Linked DNA regions of Notamacropus eugenii. Each later gene encodes a partner of the first gene's protein in a complex. Links are inferred from orthologs where the notes say so. Each region holds a gene or a part of one and is shown on either strand. Other genes may lie near its edges.

Region 1 (8,028 bases):
TCAGCAGCCAGTGGTGGTGGTGAAGAATGGGGTGCCTATGCATTGGTAATATATCCTTTAACTACCAAGTACTGCTTCATCAATAGAAGATGAGGGGAGGGGACAGGCAAAGCTAAAATTCTATCACTTCTAAGAGACTGCTGACCTCCTTCTCAGTGCAGAAGGTCAGCAGGCAGCAGAGTTTGTCTAGGACCCTGACTGAACAATCCTATTCCTTGGTATCTAAGCAACAAAGCCTTGGCAAACAAATAATGCTTATGAAACCAAATTCTAATTATCTTCACGGTAAGGCAGCTAGATTGCGATGGCTGCTTTGGGGAGATGGGTATTATCTAATCATTTCATGGAGTTATTCATAATGTGTTTCAACCAGAAACTAGCTGCACAGCCTCTCACAATCCTAATACCCCAAGGAAATGGGGATGTAATTGAGTGGCATGGACATCTTGGCATTTGTAGTTCGAACAGAATCTCATTCAGGGTGTACTCAAGTACCCTCTAACTTGAGGATGAAACAGCCACGGCCCATTTCAGCTGAAAGCACCAATTCATACTGAAACTGTCAGCACCAGACTGTGTCCTTTCCTAGCTGTGGCTGAAACCGTCCAACCTAGACTCCCATTGCAGCCCCCTCTCAATGCCCAAGCAGAGCAAGAAAGGCCTTTTTTCTGGTATTTCATTCCAACTCTTGTTTTCCTCCTCTTCTGGCCCTTCGCTTCCTTCTGTGCTGCAGTCTGCTTCATCCTTCCTCCCCCTCTCTACTTTATTTACTGCAGTCAAATTCTTTGCTTGTTTCCTTGCAGTGGCTAGAAAGGACAGATCAGTATCCCCAAAGTGCTGGATGGTGGGTCATTTATAGCTCAACTCAGCCACTATAGCACTGGAAGGCATTTGTGAAATCATTCGAGCTTCTCTGGGACTCTGTTTCCTTAAGTGTTAAACACAAAAACACAGATTAGGCCCAGATGACTGTCGTTTACAAAGTATTTAAGCTTGTACTGTGCCAGGTACCTGGAAAAGATGAAACAGGTCCTGCCCACAAGGAGCTTCTCTCCTTTTCCGGAGAAACGTGAACAAGGAAAAGTAAACACAAAATGGACACAAAGTAACTGGGGGGCTCTGCCTGGGCCTCTGGAACAAAAAGCAACTGAGCTGTACCTTGAGGGGAAGCAGGTATTCCAAAAGTAGAGGGAGTTGATGAGAACTGATGAAAACTCAGAGACTGGAATAGTATTACTGCACCCGGAGTTGAGCCCGCTGACTGGTAGAGTCACTGGTACTGAATGTGGAATCAGAAAGATGCCCTAGACCCAGACTTAGCTGGACATCCTAGCTCAGTCACTTAACTTCTCTGCCTCAGTTTCCTCATGTGTGATAAGGGAACAGGAATAACATCTCCCTCACAGGGCTGTTGTGATGATGAAATGAGATAGCAGCTATAAGGCAGTTTGCAAACCTTAAAGTGCCACATAAATGTTAGCCTTTACTCCTGTGAACTGACATTCTTCAAGGTGAAAGGGCTTTACACAGAAAAGGGTTTTATTCACGGATCAAACATGTTTTAAAACCCAACAGCCTAGTGCAAAATGAGCTTTTTTTTACTTATGTGCTATGCTGTTTTTCCTGATATCCCCAGTGATTTCTCCAATGGAAAATTCAGGGAAAACACTGCAGACAAGTCTTTGTATTACCATCAACTACTGAGGTTTCCTGCCAGAATCCTGAGATCTTTTTGTTTTTAAAGGAAAAAGTACTTTCGTTTTAAAAAAAATTTTTCCAGGCAAAGCTGATGTTCTTTTATGTGTGTTGCGTGTGCAGAGGCACATTTTTCATCAATATTGTCCTCCTAATTGAGGCTTTCTTTTATCTGTAAGAAAAGAATCTAACCAAAGCCATAACCCCTCAGTCCCCAAATAGGCCAGGTACAAACTATATTAGGTCCATCTGAGAAAACAGCCAGCAACTGGACCCAAGGCTAAAAAAAGAGCTCATTAGCAATGTTAAGACCTTTTTAGTTTGTTTTTGGACTTCAAACTACAAAAAAAAGTTTATCATTTCAACAATTCCCTGTTTCCGGCCAGGAAGTCAGGCTGGTGTTTCAATGATCAAGGATCACACTTGTGAAGGAGTCAGAGGAGGTGGACACCAGAGGTGACGTGGGCATGAACAGGGGTGTGCATGGGAGAGAAGGGGACTGGACCACAGGAACCCCCTCTACGAAACCAGGCTGGTACCTGCTTTGAAAACTGTGTTCTAAGGGTGGTCAGGTCAGCTGCCAGTGTGTGTCAGAAGGAGAACTCCAGTCTTCACCTTCCTGGTTCTGAGACTGACTCTCTCCCCACCGGGCCCTACTTGGTGCATGCCTCCTGCATGTAAAAGATAACATTTGGGAAATGTGCAGTTGGGAGAGAAGAGCCAGTTAGCTAGTGGGAGGGAAGGAGAGCTGATGGACACCCCTAGGGCTGCTGACAAATGCCACTAGACACAAATGAGGTTCAGTGGATGGATTTATCTTTCTTTTGATGCTAGGTAATTTCGTTTTCTTCTCTTTGAATGATTTATCTATCTTTTTAAAAGCTGTTAGTATTATTAATTCAATTTTTTTCACTTTCAATTTTATTAATCTTTTTTGATATTTGGATTTTCTATTTTGGCATTTATTTGGAGAGCTTAAATTTGTTGGTTTTCTAGTGTGTGTGTGTTTTTTAATTGCATTGCCCCAATTCATTGATCAGGTCTCTTTTACTAATCAAAGTATTTAGAGCCATAGTTTCCTCTAAAGATAACTTTGGCTGAATCCTGAAAATTCTGCTATGTTTTCTCTTTGTTGTAATTCTCTTAAATGAAGTGATCAGTTTATATTTGTTCTTTGACCTGCCAATTCTTTAGGCTTGAGTTAGTCTCCATTTAATTTTTAATTGTTAATTTAGTGAATATTTGTTGATTTTTAATTGTATTGTGGTCTGTAAAACAGGTGCATTTAATATATCTGCTTTTTTGCATGTTTGTGAGGTTTTTATGCCCTATTACATGGTCATTTTTTTTTTTGTAAAGGTGCTGTCTACAGGTGATAAATATATATAATCCTTTCTATTTCCATCTGACAACCTCTAGAGGACTATCATATCAAATTTTTCTAAAATCTTATTTAGGTCCTTTGCTTCTTTTGGTTAGATTCCTGTAGGTGTGAGGGGGTAAACAGAAGCTCCCTCCCTACTATTATAGTTCTACTGTGTTTTCCTATAACACATTTAACTTTTCTTGTAAGAATTCAGATGTCATGTCATTTTGTGTGTGTGTGCGTGTGTGTATACTCCCTATTTTTCTCTTTTAGTTAAATCTCTTTTTACTATTGCTTTCTCTGAGATCATGAAGTGAGGGTGTGAGCTGAGCTCTGAGAGTGTCTGGATGCCCCTCAGCCCTCCGACTTTCTTTAGTGCCACCTGTTCTTGACCACCAAGGCCCATTCTTAACAGGCTGACCCAGGCTGTCTCTCTCAGGCTCCTGCCTCCAAACCCCAAACTCTCACCTCCTTGCTCCGGTTCCCCAAGCCTCTCCTCTTCAGCTTCAGTCTCCTGGGAGGAAGAGGCGGATGCCATCTTTCCAGACAGCTCTGACTTAAGCTCCCGCGGGGGTGGCCCCCACCTCCCCCACACAGGCTCAGGTCTGGGGCTGCACAAAACCTTCCCTTGGCCCTGGGGCTGGTGGCACTCCCAGCGCCTGGCACGGGAGAGGAGGAGCTTAGGCGGGGCACATTAAACAGAGCTTCTCCCTGCAGCCTGTCCAGCGTGCAGCCGGGCCAGGGGGATGGCGGACCCAGGGAGCGGGAGGAAGAAGACCTGGGTTCGAGCACTGTGCCACACGCTGATGGCTGTGGGGGTCCCGGAGCTTCCTGCGGCTGATGGTGCGGGCTGGCTCCACTGGCACAGGGGAACGTGAGGGGAGGGACTCTGTGCTGTGATCGATGACCCGGAGGCCCTGGGTGACCCTTGACACTAGATGACCCCTTAGGCCCCCACTGGGCAGGGTTTTAGAGGCACACGAAGAAAAGGTCGGAGAAGGCCCGGCCCGGGTTCGAGTTGTGCCTCTGCTAACTCCCTGCCCAGGAGGCCTCGGGCCACTCCCTCCCCTTCCTGGGTCTCAGTTTCCTTCTCTGTCACAAGGGAAGGGCCTTGGACTCCACGGAAGGTACGTCCTTTGAAAATGCTCGTGGCCGTGGACAGCCCTGGGGGGCGGGGGCACTGACCCGGAGCCATGATGTTGGGAGACAGCAGCGACCTCAGTTTCCCCGCCGGTAAACGAAGAGAGCCACGCGAAGGTCTTAAGTGATTCGCGCACAAGTGCGCACGCGCACGGGCGTAGGCGCACGCGCACAGCAGGCCACGCCCCCTGCCCTTCCAAGGATCCACTCCCAGCTCCCCCCTCGGTGGAGCGAACCACTGTCGGACGAGGGGGAACTCAGGCCCGGGGAGGCCAGCATCAGGGCGCATCCAGGATCATTTAATGTTCAACGAAACAGATCAGGCTCGAAGGCTGCTCTCCCTACTTTAGGGGCTTCAAAGCGCCTTAGACTCGCTCCTCTCCCGCCCATACTCTGGGAACTTTCTCCCCACGCGCATGAGCCGGCCCAGAAGCCCTAACCCGGAAGCAGCTGCGCAGGTGCAGTGGGAGACAGGCAGCATGGCGTCCCAGGCCAAGAAGCGCGCCCTGGGCAACCGGCACCCGCAGCCTCCGGGAGCCCGGGCCGAGGAGGAGCGCGAGGAGACGGCGGAGGACACCGACGAGAGCGGCGACGAGAGCGATGAAGAGGAGGACGAAGAAGACGAGCTCGTCAACCAGGTGGGGTGGACCTGCCGCGGCGCTCAGTGACGTCACCGCGTAGCCTGTCAGCCCCTTGAGGGCGGGAGGTTCTGTCCCTCAGGACGTGGCACGCCTTAGGCACGTGGGGAGGGCCCAGTCTGGCTTCTCACACTTTTGACAGGTGGGGAAACCGAGGCCCGGACAGAGGGAGGGACTTGGCTCATTCCTCTCCCCTCCCCCCCTGCTGCAGTGGGCATTAGCGAATGCCTGCCGTATGCCCCGTATGCCCTGCAGCCCCAGCGCGAGGCTCTCTGCCGGTTCCCCTTGGAGCCAGGGCCGGCCTCCCCTGGGTGTGCGAGTGTCCCTGTGTGTGCTCACGTGTGCGCTCACGTGTGTGCCTGTGCTGCCTTGTGTGCATATGTGCGTGTTTGGGCACGGGTGCGTGTTCAGACTTCACGTGGCTGTTGTCCTTCGTCTTCAAAGAGGACCAAAATGACGTCACCATGATAAAGTGAAGTTTCTGTGTGTCCCACTGTTGGTCAGACCAGCACGAGCTCAGAGTGCTCCGCCACAGGTTGGGCACAGACAGTCCGTGGGAGTATCTGGGGTGGATACTCCAAATGTGCACATCCTACACTTACTTTGTGCTGTCTGTTCTGCTTTGCTCATAGAGCACGGCCCCTTTTCTGATGTGGGCACTCCATGCTGAGCCGTCCTGTGCCAGTGTCTCCCATGTTGCACAGTCAGATCCAAAGTTCTTGAGAGTGTCCTTGTATCACTTCTTCTGACCACCACGTGATCACCTGCCCCATGCCAGTTCTCCATAAAGTAGTCTTTTTGGCAAGTGTATATTTTGCATTCGAGCAGTGTGGCCAGCCCATCAGAGTTGTGCTCTCTGAAGCATAGTTTGAAGGCTTGGCAGTTTAGTTCTAGCAAGGACTTCAGCGTCTGGTACCTTATCCTGCCAGGTGATCCTCAGAATCTTCCTAAGACAGTTCAAATGGAAGTGATTCAGTTTCCTGGCATGGCGCTGGCAGACTGTCCATGTTTCATAGGCATACAACAATGAGGTCAACAGAATGGCTCTGTAGGCTTTCAGTTTGGTAGTCAGTCTAATACCTCTTCTCTCCCAAACTTTTCTTTGGAGCCTCCCAAACACGGAGCTATCTCTGGCAGTGTGTGCATCAACCTCATTATCAATGTGTACATCCCTGGAAAGTACACTAGTAAGGATAAGTGAACTTATCCACAGCATTCAAAACTTCTCCGTTTGTTGTAACTGATGGTTCCATGTATGGATGGTGTGGTGGTGGCTGATGAAGCACCTATGTTTTCTTGGTGTTAATTATTAGACCAAAGTTAGCACAGGCAGCAGAGAATTGATCCATTCTTTGTTGCCTCTCAGCTTCAGAGGCTGCATTGGGTGCACAATCATCTCCAAACAGAAAGTCGTGCACAAACACTCCCTTCCATTTTGGTCTTGGCTTATAGCCTTTTCAAATTCAAGAACCTACCATCAGTGCGGTAGCTGAACTTGATGCCATGTTCATTCTCATTGAAAGCATTTGACAGCATGGGAGCAAGCACACAGCCCTGTTTCACTCCATTGGGAAGGCATGAGAGCATTGTCCATTGTCTAGAACCTGGGCAACATACCATCATGAAATTAATGTACAATGCTGATGAACTTCTCCAGGTAACCAAATTTTGACATAATTTTCATTTTGACATAATTTTTCATTCATATTTGACATAAGCATTCGTGACTAACAGTGTCAAAGGCCTTGGTCAGATTTTTCCTGGCATTTCTCCTGGAGTTGTTGGGCGGCAAACACCATATTGACTGTTCCTTGGCCTTTTCTGAAGTTCCCTGACTCTCGGGTATATGACTGTCTTCCAGGTCAGATCAGCCTATTAAGGAGGACTCTAGCAAGAATTTTGCCCACAATGACTAAGAGAGATATCTCTGATTGTCACAGGACAATCTATTCCCTTTACCTTTATAGACATGGACAATGGAGGTATCCTTCAACCCCTGGGTGATAACCTCCTCTTGCTATATAACCTAGAAAATTTCAGTCAGCTTTTGTATGAGCAATGGTCCCCGTACCTTGTAAATCTCAGCTAGAATAGAATCAGTACCAGGTGCTTTGCCACATGAAAGGAGCCTAATGGTCCTCAAAACCTCTTCTTCAGTTGGAAGTTCAACTAAGGAGGGATTGACTTCAACTGAGGTAAACAATCAGTAGCCTCAGCATTGATTGATGATAGTCTGTTGAGAACACTATGGAAGTGTTCAGCCTATCTCTCTAGGATCCTGTCCTTATCACTAATCAATGTGGTTCCATCAGCACTGAGTAGTTGTGATGCATCGTAGGTTGTTGGTCCATAAATAGCTTTCAGGGAATCATAAAAGTGCTTTGGATTGTTACTATCAGCATAAAACTGAATTTCATCTGCATTCTTACTGAGCCAGGAATCCTGCTTCTCTCTAAGCTTTGCTTGTAGCTTTTGCTTTTGATGGAATTAAATGCTGCCTTCTTAGAGGTGGATGAACTATCCTGCTGGTAAATCCTGTGGAGTTCTCGTTTTTTGTTTATCAGCTTCTGAGTTTCCCCATCATTTTCAACAAACCAGTCTTGGTGTTTGCAAGTGTTCTGACCCAGATGAGCAAATGCAGTGCTGTGCACCAAATCTCTGAAAGCTGCCCACTCCCTTTCTGCTCCACTGTTACCAATTGTGCGTTGGCTCAACCTTCCCTCCAAATCAGTAGCAAACTTCATGCTCAGAGAAGAGCTCTAATTTGTTGACATTGATTCTTCTGGTAGTCATTTTGCCTTGGGGGGCAGCACTTTTGATGAATGCGAATATTTAGCTTGGAAAGTCTATGATCAGTCCAGTACTCTGCACCGCACATTGCCTTTGTCACTCTCACATCTTGTCTGTCTCTTCTCCTTACGATCACATAGTCTATTAGATGCCAGTGTGTGCTGCGAGCATGCTTCCATGAAGTTTTATTGTGTTTAGGTAAACTGAAAACAGTGTCAGTGATAAGAAGGTCATGGCATGCACAAGTCTTCAGCAGCAAATGACCATTGCTTTTGCTGTTTCCAACTCCTTTCCTCCCTAGGACTCCCTGCCAAGTCTATGCCTCCAGCCCCAGCGCGAGTCTCTCTGCAGGTTCCCCTTTGAGCCAGGGCTGGCCTCCCCTGTATGTGTACACATGTG
Region 2 (7,475 bases), on another chromosome or scaffold:
TTGGCATCTGCTACATATGGAGCTGGCTGGTAGTAACAGGTGACATTGGCCACATTGGGGATAATATTTTGCTCAGCCAGCACACGGATAGCCAGCATGGTAATGAGATTCAAAGTCTGTCTTCTCTCGTGTCCCATCAAACACACCGTACTTTCATTCACCACACCGTGAAGGGTCATGAGATAGTCATACTTGCGGTCTTCCAATCCCACAAAGTGGTTCTGCAAGTAGGATTCCAATTTTCTCTGCTGTTCACCAATGTCTGAGAAGTCGATGAAAAATCTGGAACACATATACCTCTGGAGGGACTTAATTTCAGCTTCAGAAGCAGCTCTAAAGCCCCTAACCAAAAGGTTACAGTATTTGAGAAGCCCTCCTCCTCTGATTTCTTCTGGATTTCTGGTAGCAATGACCTTGTTGCAAAGGTGATCAAAGGCTTCTTGGAAATCCCCATAGACACTCTCCCCGATTATAGTGGGGTGAAAAGTTTCAGTCATTGGATTCTCTGAGCATTCATAAAAAAGCAAGAGAGAGTCTAACTTGATTTGGAAAGAGTCTACACTGAACTCAAACTGGCGCCGCAGGGAATCCACAAATTTCAGTTCCACATTTTTGCCACTGTTGTTTGACAGAGAGATGAGACTCCAGCGGTCTGAGTCATTGCATACTTTTACCATTTTCTGCACGTAAGCTTCCTAAAACATGAAAGACAAAGCAAGCAGATGAACACGACTACTAATTTAAATCAACCTCTTTTCACAAGTTAGAATGCAGCTGGCTCCTTTCACATTTTACTCAAACGCCCTAGGCTATCTACAGGTTTGAATACTCCCCTTCCAGAGGTTCCCCTCCCCCGCAACAAACTCATCTCCTAGGTAAATGAGACTTTTACAGCCTGGGATAGAGAAAAGAAGAAAAATATAAGTCTGATGTTCCTAGTAGATCGGGTTCAGTACTAACAGGTTCCGGGACAATGTCGGTGGTATTTCCTGAGAAGGCTGACTGCTCATGCCCACACAATTTTAACCAATTGCAAAAATGTTGCCAAAAAGGCTGACTCTGTAAGCCTTAAAGCATGCGGGTTTCCAAAATCCAGAGCCCATAACCGATTCATATTTTCCAATACAACAGCACTCAACTCATTGTCTCAGTCTTACTTCTTCAACGCAGTCTCACTAAGCTTGGGAGTCCTAACAGGACTCACCAAAGAAATTTAAATGGTTAAATAAATACAGATATTAAAATAAGCGACTTTCAAAACGTCACTACTTTTTAGTTCCTGAAATCCGTTCCAATGGAAACTTTCTTAGATAATGCATGCAAGGCTTTTTAAGATAAAATAAAATAAAAAATAAAAAAGGGTGTGTGTGTGCATAGAAAGAAAAAAGGAAACAAAATATTTAATAAGCGCCTACTACGTGGGCACTAGATACATTTTTACAAATGCTTAAATTTACGTGAGCTACCAACTTAGTAGATTCCAAAATTTATTCTCCAAAGCGACGCTAGGTTGCACGCACTTTACAGAGCCTCTAGTGGGGGGGATGGGGGGGTGTAGAGAGCTGGAGAGGGAGTAAGGAAGGTAAGAAGTGACTTAGAGAAATACATAACTTTTTTTATGACACGACTACATTGCTGACTGGTAAGGGAAATAGGACGAGGGAATGAGGGGAAAGGGAACACTCTAAAGCACCTTTAGTCAAAGCTAACTTTTCCGGCTCCATTTCCAGATCAAGAAAGTCCTACTTACTTCCATTCCAATCTGACTTCCCTTTGCAAGTCAATTCATTAGGAAGACTGACTTTTACCTTAAGAGTTAGAGGCGTAATCTTCTCCTTATTCACTCCTTCAGGCAAGAAATCCAATAGGCAGTCCAGGACCACGTCCTTGACAGTCTGAAACTCCTCTTCCCCCTGGAGATCTGCGCAGAAGATGAGGTCCAGGTCCTTGTAGCCCAGGCCACTGTCCTGGTGCAGGACGTGGCTAGCGGCGGAGCCGTTGAGTCGCACGTCGCGGACCCCAATGCGCTTCTCCTCCAGGCGGCTCCTCACCACCTTCACGATCTGACGGGGCTGCATCTCCAGGGTGGGAAAGTTGCCCCGGCCGTGGATGGGGATCGTCTCGCTCAAGATGTCGTCGAGCCGCTGCACTTGCTCCCAGCTCAGCACGTTACAATGCATGGTGGGGTTCTCACAGCAGCCAACACAGCAGTTATTCCCACCAAAGCCGCTGTTGCTGCAGCTGCAGCCGCACCACTCGCCGCCGCTGCCAGTACAGATGCGGACGCTTTTGGCGCTTTCGTCATCAGCCATGGTAAAGAGCCGTTTTCCCTCCGTTGCGAAATGCCCGGTGAATGCCAGGTTTTGCCCTAGGAGATAAGAAAGCAAAAGAAAAGATAAGTTAGAACCATTAAGCGGGTGGCTGGCGGCGAGGAGTCAGAGCCCCGTGACAGCCTGAAGATCCCAACCTAGGAGTTGCTGGATGGTTTTCCACTACAAATCTAAGGAAGATTTTCGCTTTCCCTCCCAGTCTAAAAATTGGACCTCTCCCCTCTCTCCCACATACACAGACCAGAAACCCCCGCAGCTTAGCCCAAAATGAACAGAATAGTCTCAGCTGCAAAAGGATGAACTGGAACTGATCCCATGTTCCCGTCCCACTTCTGTCACACCTGGGCTGAGTCGCAGCCTCCTGATCCGAAGAGTTATGAGTGTATGAACACAACAGCGAAGGAGAGAAAGCTTGGGACAAAGTGCAGAGGAGCCGTGGGTAGCTGAAGCGCAGAGTCGGGCAAAGGGGCTTCTCTTCCTGAATCCTGGCCAATTAACCTCTTTCGTTACTTTCTGTGCCCTGCTCTCCCTGGCTGGCAGAGAGTGCGGGTCTGTCTCTGCGTGCGCGAGGTCTTTACTCTTTTTTCCTCCACCTCCTTTTCTTAAGTGCTGCTCTCTCCCTTGAGGAGACTGGGGCAGCTGCCGTCGGGGCTACTCTATCCTGGGCTGCCACTGGCTTCCTGACGCTGCTGCTGCTGCGGCTGCTGTCCCGCCACCGCCTCCGCTTAAGCTTCCGTCTCTAGAGCTTTAGCAGTTCTGCTTGGGAAATGTCTTCTGTACTTTTTTATATGGGATTTCTCCGAGCTTCCGGGGATCATAGTCGCTGCACTCTAGCCACACCCACTTCATCTACATAGAGTTCGGCCTTCGGACCCAGTTCTGGCTCCCCCGCCCACCTCATTTACATAGAAATCTGCTTCTGCCCTCCCAACCCAGACTAGAACCATCTTTTGAGAGAGAACACCACCCTTTTTTTCTCTTTTTTTTCTACGCCACCTCTTTCTTTTCCCTAAGAAGCAGCATTGAAAATAGTTGTGTTTTTTTTTTTATAAAGAATGAAAAACAGCTTAAGTAGGCTACTGAAATTGTATCACCTGTTTAAACTACTGAAACTTCCTAGGGAAAAAAAATTGAATTTATTTTGCAAGGAATTGCTGCTAGTCACTTCATTAATTATGCTCAATTAAACGAGTGGAAATCCCAAAAGGTTCCTTTAATAAAATATTTTAGACAAGCGTATGAATGAATGCAGGGGTTATTCATAAAGTCTAAGTGGGGCTTTGCTTTTTTATTTTTCTCCCTTAATAACCTTGATTTAAATGTAAGTACAGTTCCTACACTTTTCCGATCAACGATACTTTAGCATGGAAGAAGGGAAGAGTTCGGGGTAACTGAGATTCAGTTCCAGCAACAAGTATATATGCCAATGAGTACACCCAAGGAGATAGCTCCTGAGATTCCGGCCGGGCGCATCAGGGGAGGATGCTGATGACTCATGCACCCACGTAAAAGTGTTTCTCCTAGGGCTGAATTAAAACTTGAAGAACAGCAGCTTGATGGACAGCTGGAGTCGCAGCAGCTCTACCCGACCCAACGTCACTGAGACCTGCGCTCCAGCCCCAGCTGCACGGAGAATCCTGGAGGCTTTGATGAGGGAAAGGCTAGACCAATCACCGAAGCCTCCGCGATGACGCTTATGCCTTTCTCTCGTCTAGTGGAAAGGAGGGTAGTGGGGGTGGGGGGTGGGGGGAGGGGGAAGAAGCCAATGGGCGAGTTGCGTGGGCGGGGCTGTGCCTGCTGTCAGAACTGTCTGAATGAGCTCGGTACGCGCAAGAAGGGGGAGTGGGAGAGGGGATAGAGGAGGAAAGACGTTGCCCTTATGTGGACCAAGCCGCCCACGCGGGGCAGCTTAGCTGCGACTCTCTCCTGTCAGGTTTTCTAGAAAAGACTAGGAGGAAAAGGCTCTTTTTGTGCTTCTTCCCCTACTAAATCTTTTTTTTTTTTAAAGCGGGCATGTAATAAATTATTTTAAAATGCTCTCTCTGTCTCTGTCTCTCTCTGTCTCTGTCTCTCTGTCTCTCTCTGTCTCTCTCTCTCTGTGTCTCTCTCTGTGTGTCTCTCTGTCTCTGTCTCTGTCTCTGTCTCTCTCTCTCTTCCCTATGGATCATAAAAAGGAATGAATTTCTTTCCCAGACACAGGAAATGAATGGGTGACAATCAGTTTCAGAGCTCCTTTTCGTTGGCCCCTGATTTGGCTCTTTGAAGTGTATGTACCAAGGTTCAACATTTATAGTCCACAGGGGCCCCTTTTACATCATCACTACGGCAAGAGAGGTCCGTGCTTTGATAGAAAGCACTGTTTCTCACAAAAGTGCAAAAAACAAAAAACAAAAAAACCATTCCTGAAACCTGCGTGTTGTGTTTGTGCTTTGAGTGAGTGGTACGTAGGGGAATAGGAAGGGATAAATGGGAGTAACCGCTGGGAGTGCTAAGAGCCCACTATATAACACTAGAGTATCAGGGGCTAAAGGAGAATGTACCCCAGTCCCTTTGGCATCCTCATGCCACCAGGGGCATCATTACACACTGCGTACTCGCTTGACTCACTCTAAATGGGGAATGGAGATACCTTGCAACTGAAACTTAAGGGATCGCAGAGATAGGGGGCGGGGACGGGGGGGGGGGGGTAACCTAGGGAGCATCCAGTTGTGTGGCAAGGCCTCCCCCTGCCGGAGAGAAAAAGAACTATATTTAAACGCAAAAGCAAACTCCTTTAACTGCTGGGCGTGGGGTTAGGGGGCGAGGGGAACATCTCTTCACCGTCAAAGACTAGTACTTGGGAAATAGTCCAGAACTAGGGAGTATTCCTTTAGGCCAGGTATTAGTAGAATGAATGATCTCTCCCCGACTTATCTAAATAATTCAAACACATTCATTCAGACTCTCAGATACACCCTGTCCTCAGAGCCAACACTTGATAACGTCTCCCTAAACTGAAAAGTAAGTAAGCTGGTAGAAGAAAACGGTTGTGTGACTAAAGTTACGGTTTTTAAAAAGGTCTGCTGTATTCTGAGTAGGTTTAGGTCCACTGGAGAGGACAAAAAAAGAAAATCAAATATTTTTTTTTCATATTCAGGTTTGTAACAATTTTCTTTTGGCAATTCGTGTTATTAGATAAAAAGAAAATCTAGTCACAGGACAAATAGCAATCATCTTCAGTCCTACAGAATCGGTCCCATTTCTCTGATAAATCATTCCTGATCTCTCATATACCTTCCAGGATCATAGTTCTAGAATTTGAAGGGACTTTCCCCAAGGACATCTATTCCAACCTTTTCATTTTACTGGTGAGAGAACTGAGGCCAGGGGAAATCAGGAGGAGTGGGTTCCAAGACCTTATTTAAATGACTGACTGAGTACCATCTAGCAGATGTTTGTTTAATGGTTGATTGGCTATGTGCACATGAATAAGGTACTTAATTTTTCTGAACTTCATATTTCTTATCTGTAGATTAAGGGAGATGGCCATAATGAGGAGGAGGAGAGTGAGGAAGAGAAAGAGGAGGAGAATGATTCAGTGCTTTAAGTTTTACAAAGTTCTTTGCTTGCAAAAGTCCTGTAAGGAAGACATTGCAAGCAGGAATTAGTTGCTACTAATGGTTTCTTCCAGCTCTAAAGTCTAAAGTTTCTCTAGTATAATACATATAATCATTGACTCTTCATGCCTGCAACTTATAAACTACCTAACAGTTACATTTAAGTATTTTAGAGAAGGTAACACAAAGTTTAAGATGCAGGATTGAGAGTTTGCTCATTGCAAAATGGAAGTGGTTACTCTAGTGAATAGGACCACGACTTAGTCTATTCCTACCTATCTAGCTCAGTTTCAATCAATTAATAGTTATAACAGGCACAGTGTTAAGTAATAAGGATACAAGAAGAGGCAAAAGTCAATTCCTGCCCTCAATTTGTAAGCAAATTGTACATATTTATTTATAAACACACACATTTTATATATATGTATACATACATACATACGCATGTATACATTTATGTAGATAGATAGTTTCCAGAGAAATGGGGACTACATGGTTTCTTAGAAAGTATCTAATGCCTAGCTATGTCTCTTCTGGCACAGAGTTGGTTGAAAATACAACATATGTTAAGAACATTTCACATCTGTGAAATTCACAGTGTAGAGATCTGCATTGATTCAACAAAACTGGTGTTAAAGTTTAAAAAACATTTTTTTCAGTACACTTACTCTTCAAAGGATTGGCAGAGTACTAACCTGAACAAATAAATTTATATCACTCTGTTGAAGAATTTAGAACATCAAAAACATATATGAGAAGAAAACTGGCACATGATGCCAAGAAGGGATGTGGGGATTGAAGTAGGAACAGGTTTATGATGGGTAATCTAAACTCAGGAATTCAGTTTCTCTGGAAGATGCTGGAATATCTTTTGATTTAGCCATTACTTTTCACAGGAATGAACACAACAGTGGAATTTTAAATGTATTTACTGATAAAGGCTAATGAGGGAGAGAGGAAGTTATAAGTGACAGGGAGCTGAGAAAGTCATAGGATCATATATTCGGAGCAATAAGGGCTTTCAGAGTCCTTCTAGTCCAACTCCCGAATTTTATTAACCAGGAAACAGATGGCTGGGGGGTTAAGGGACTTGCTCAAAATCACCTGGGTAGTAAATACCAAAGGTAGGACCAAGTTCTCTGGTTCTGGAATGAGTTCTCCTTCCACAGTCCCAAGCTGCTTCTAAACATATCACAAAGCAAGCCAGTCAATACAAAATAAGGATATGATAATCAATTTTGTGGGTCATCTATTGAAAGGCACTCATTTTGTGAGTGAGGGAAGTGAGGCATAGAAAAGTTAATTAATTTGGCTTGTCCAAGGTCATAGAGTTACTAAGGGACTGGGCTAGAATTCAAACTAAAGTTTTCTGACTAAATCTAGAACTCTTTCTACAGCCCTACAGAGGTGTTTCCACAGGGATTACTGGGTAAATTCTGATAAACATAAACCACCATGACCTGACAAGCCATTGGTCATGTAGGGTTGAACAAGATTACTTCTGATGTTAAGATCTATAATTTATCTCCTATACAGTTCTGCTTTGTAA

What was found. Proteins that work in one complex are often made in the same cells at the same time.
Region 2: the proteins of BCCIP (region 1) and TENT5A are in contact, whole or in part, in a crystal structure (PDB 8EXE), measured with the Homo sapiens proteins. The link is inferred for Notamacropus eugenii from reciprocal best matches to the Homo sapiens genes BCCIP and TENT5A. Residues at the interface, in NP_510868.1 of Homo sapiens: Val57, Asn58, Ile59, Glu60, Phe61, Glu62, Ala63, Tyr64, Ser65, Leu66, Gln146, Val149, Leu150, Phe152, Cys153, Glu154, Lys155, Asn156, Cys157, Glu158, Lys159, Glu163, Lys167, Leu203, Ala204, Ala206, Thr225; in NP_060103.2 of Homo sapiens: Arg87, Gly88, Asp139, Glu151, Gln155, Lys158, Lys184, Glu185, Val188, Gln189, Lys190, Met191, Val192, Lys193, Val194, Cys195, Asn196, Asp199, Trp201, Asn213, Arg289, Lys295, Glu331, Arg334, Gln341, Asn342, His343.

The regions. Positions count from the first base shown.
Region 1 is NC_092872.1:282,197,494-282,205,521, forward strand, and holds the start of BCCIP (BRCA2 and CDKN1A-interacting protein), read left to right. Parts: upstream 1-4,617; coding exon 4,618-4,839; intron 4,840-8,028. UniProt on the Homo sapiens protein: During interphase, required for microtubule organizing and anchoring activities. During mitosis, required for the organization and stabilization of the spindle pole.
Region 2 is NC_092873.1:154,128,317-154,135,791, forward strand, and holds the start of TENT5A (terminal nucleotidyltransferase 5A), read right to left. Parts: upstream 3,121-7,475; 5' UTR 2,672-3,120; intron 2,369-2,671; 5' UTR 2,313-2,368; coding exon 1,809-2,312; intron 696-1,808; coding exon 1-695.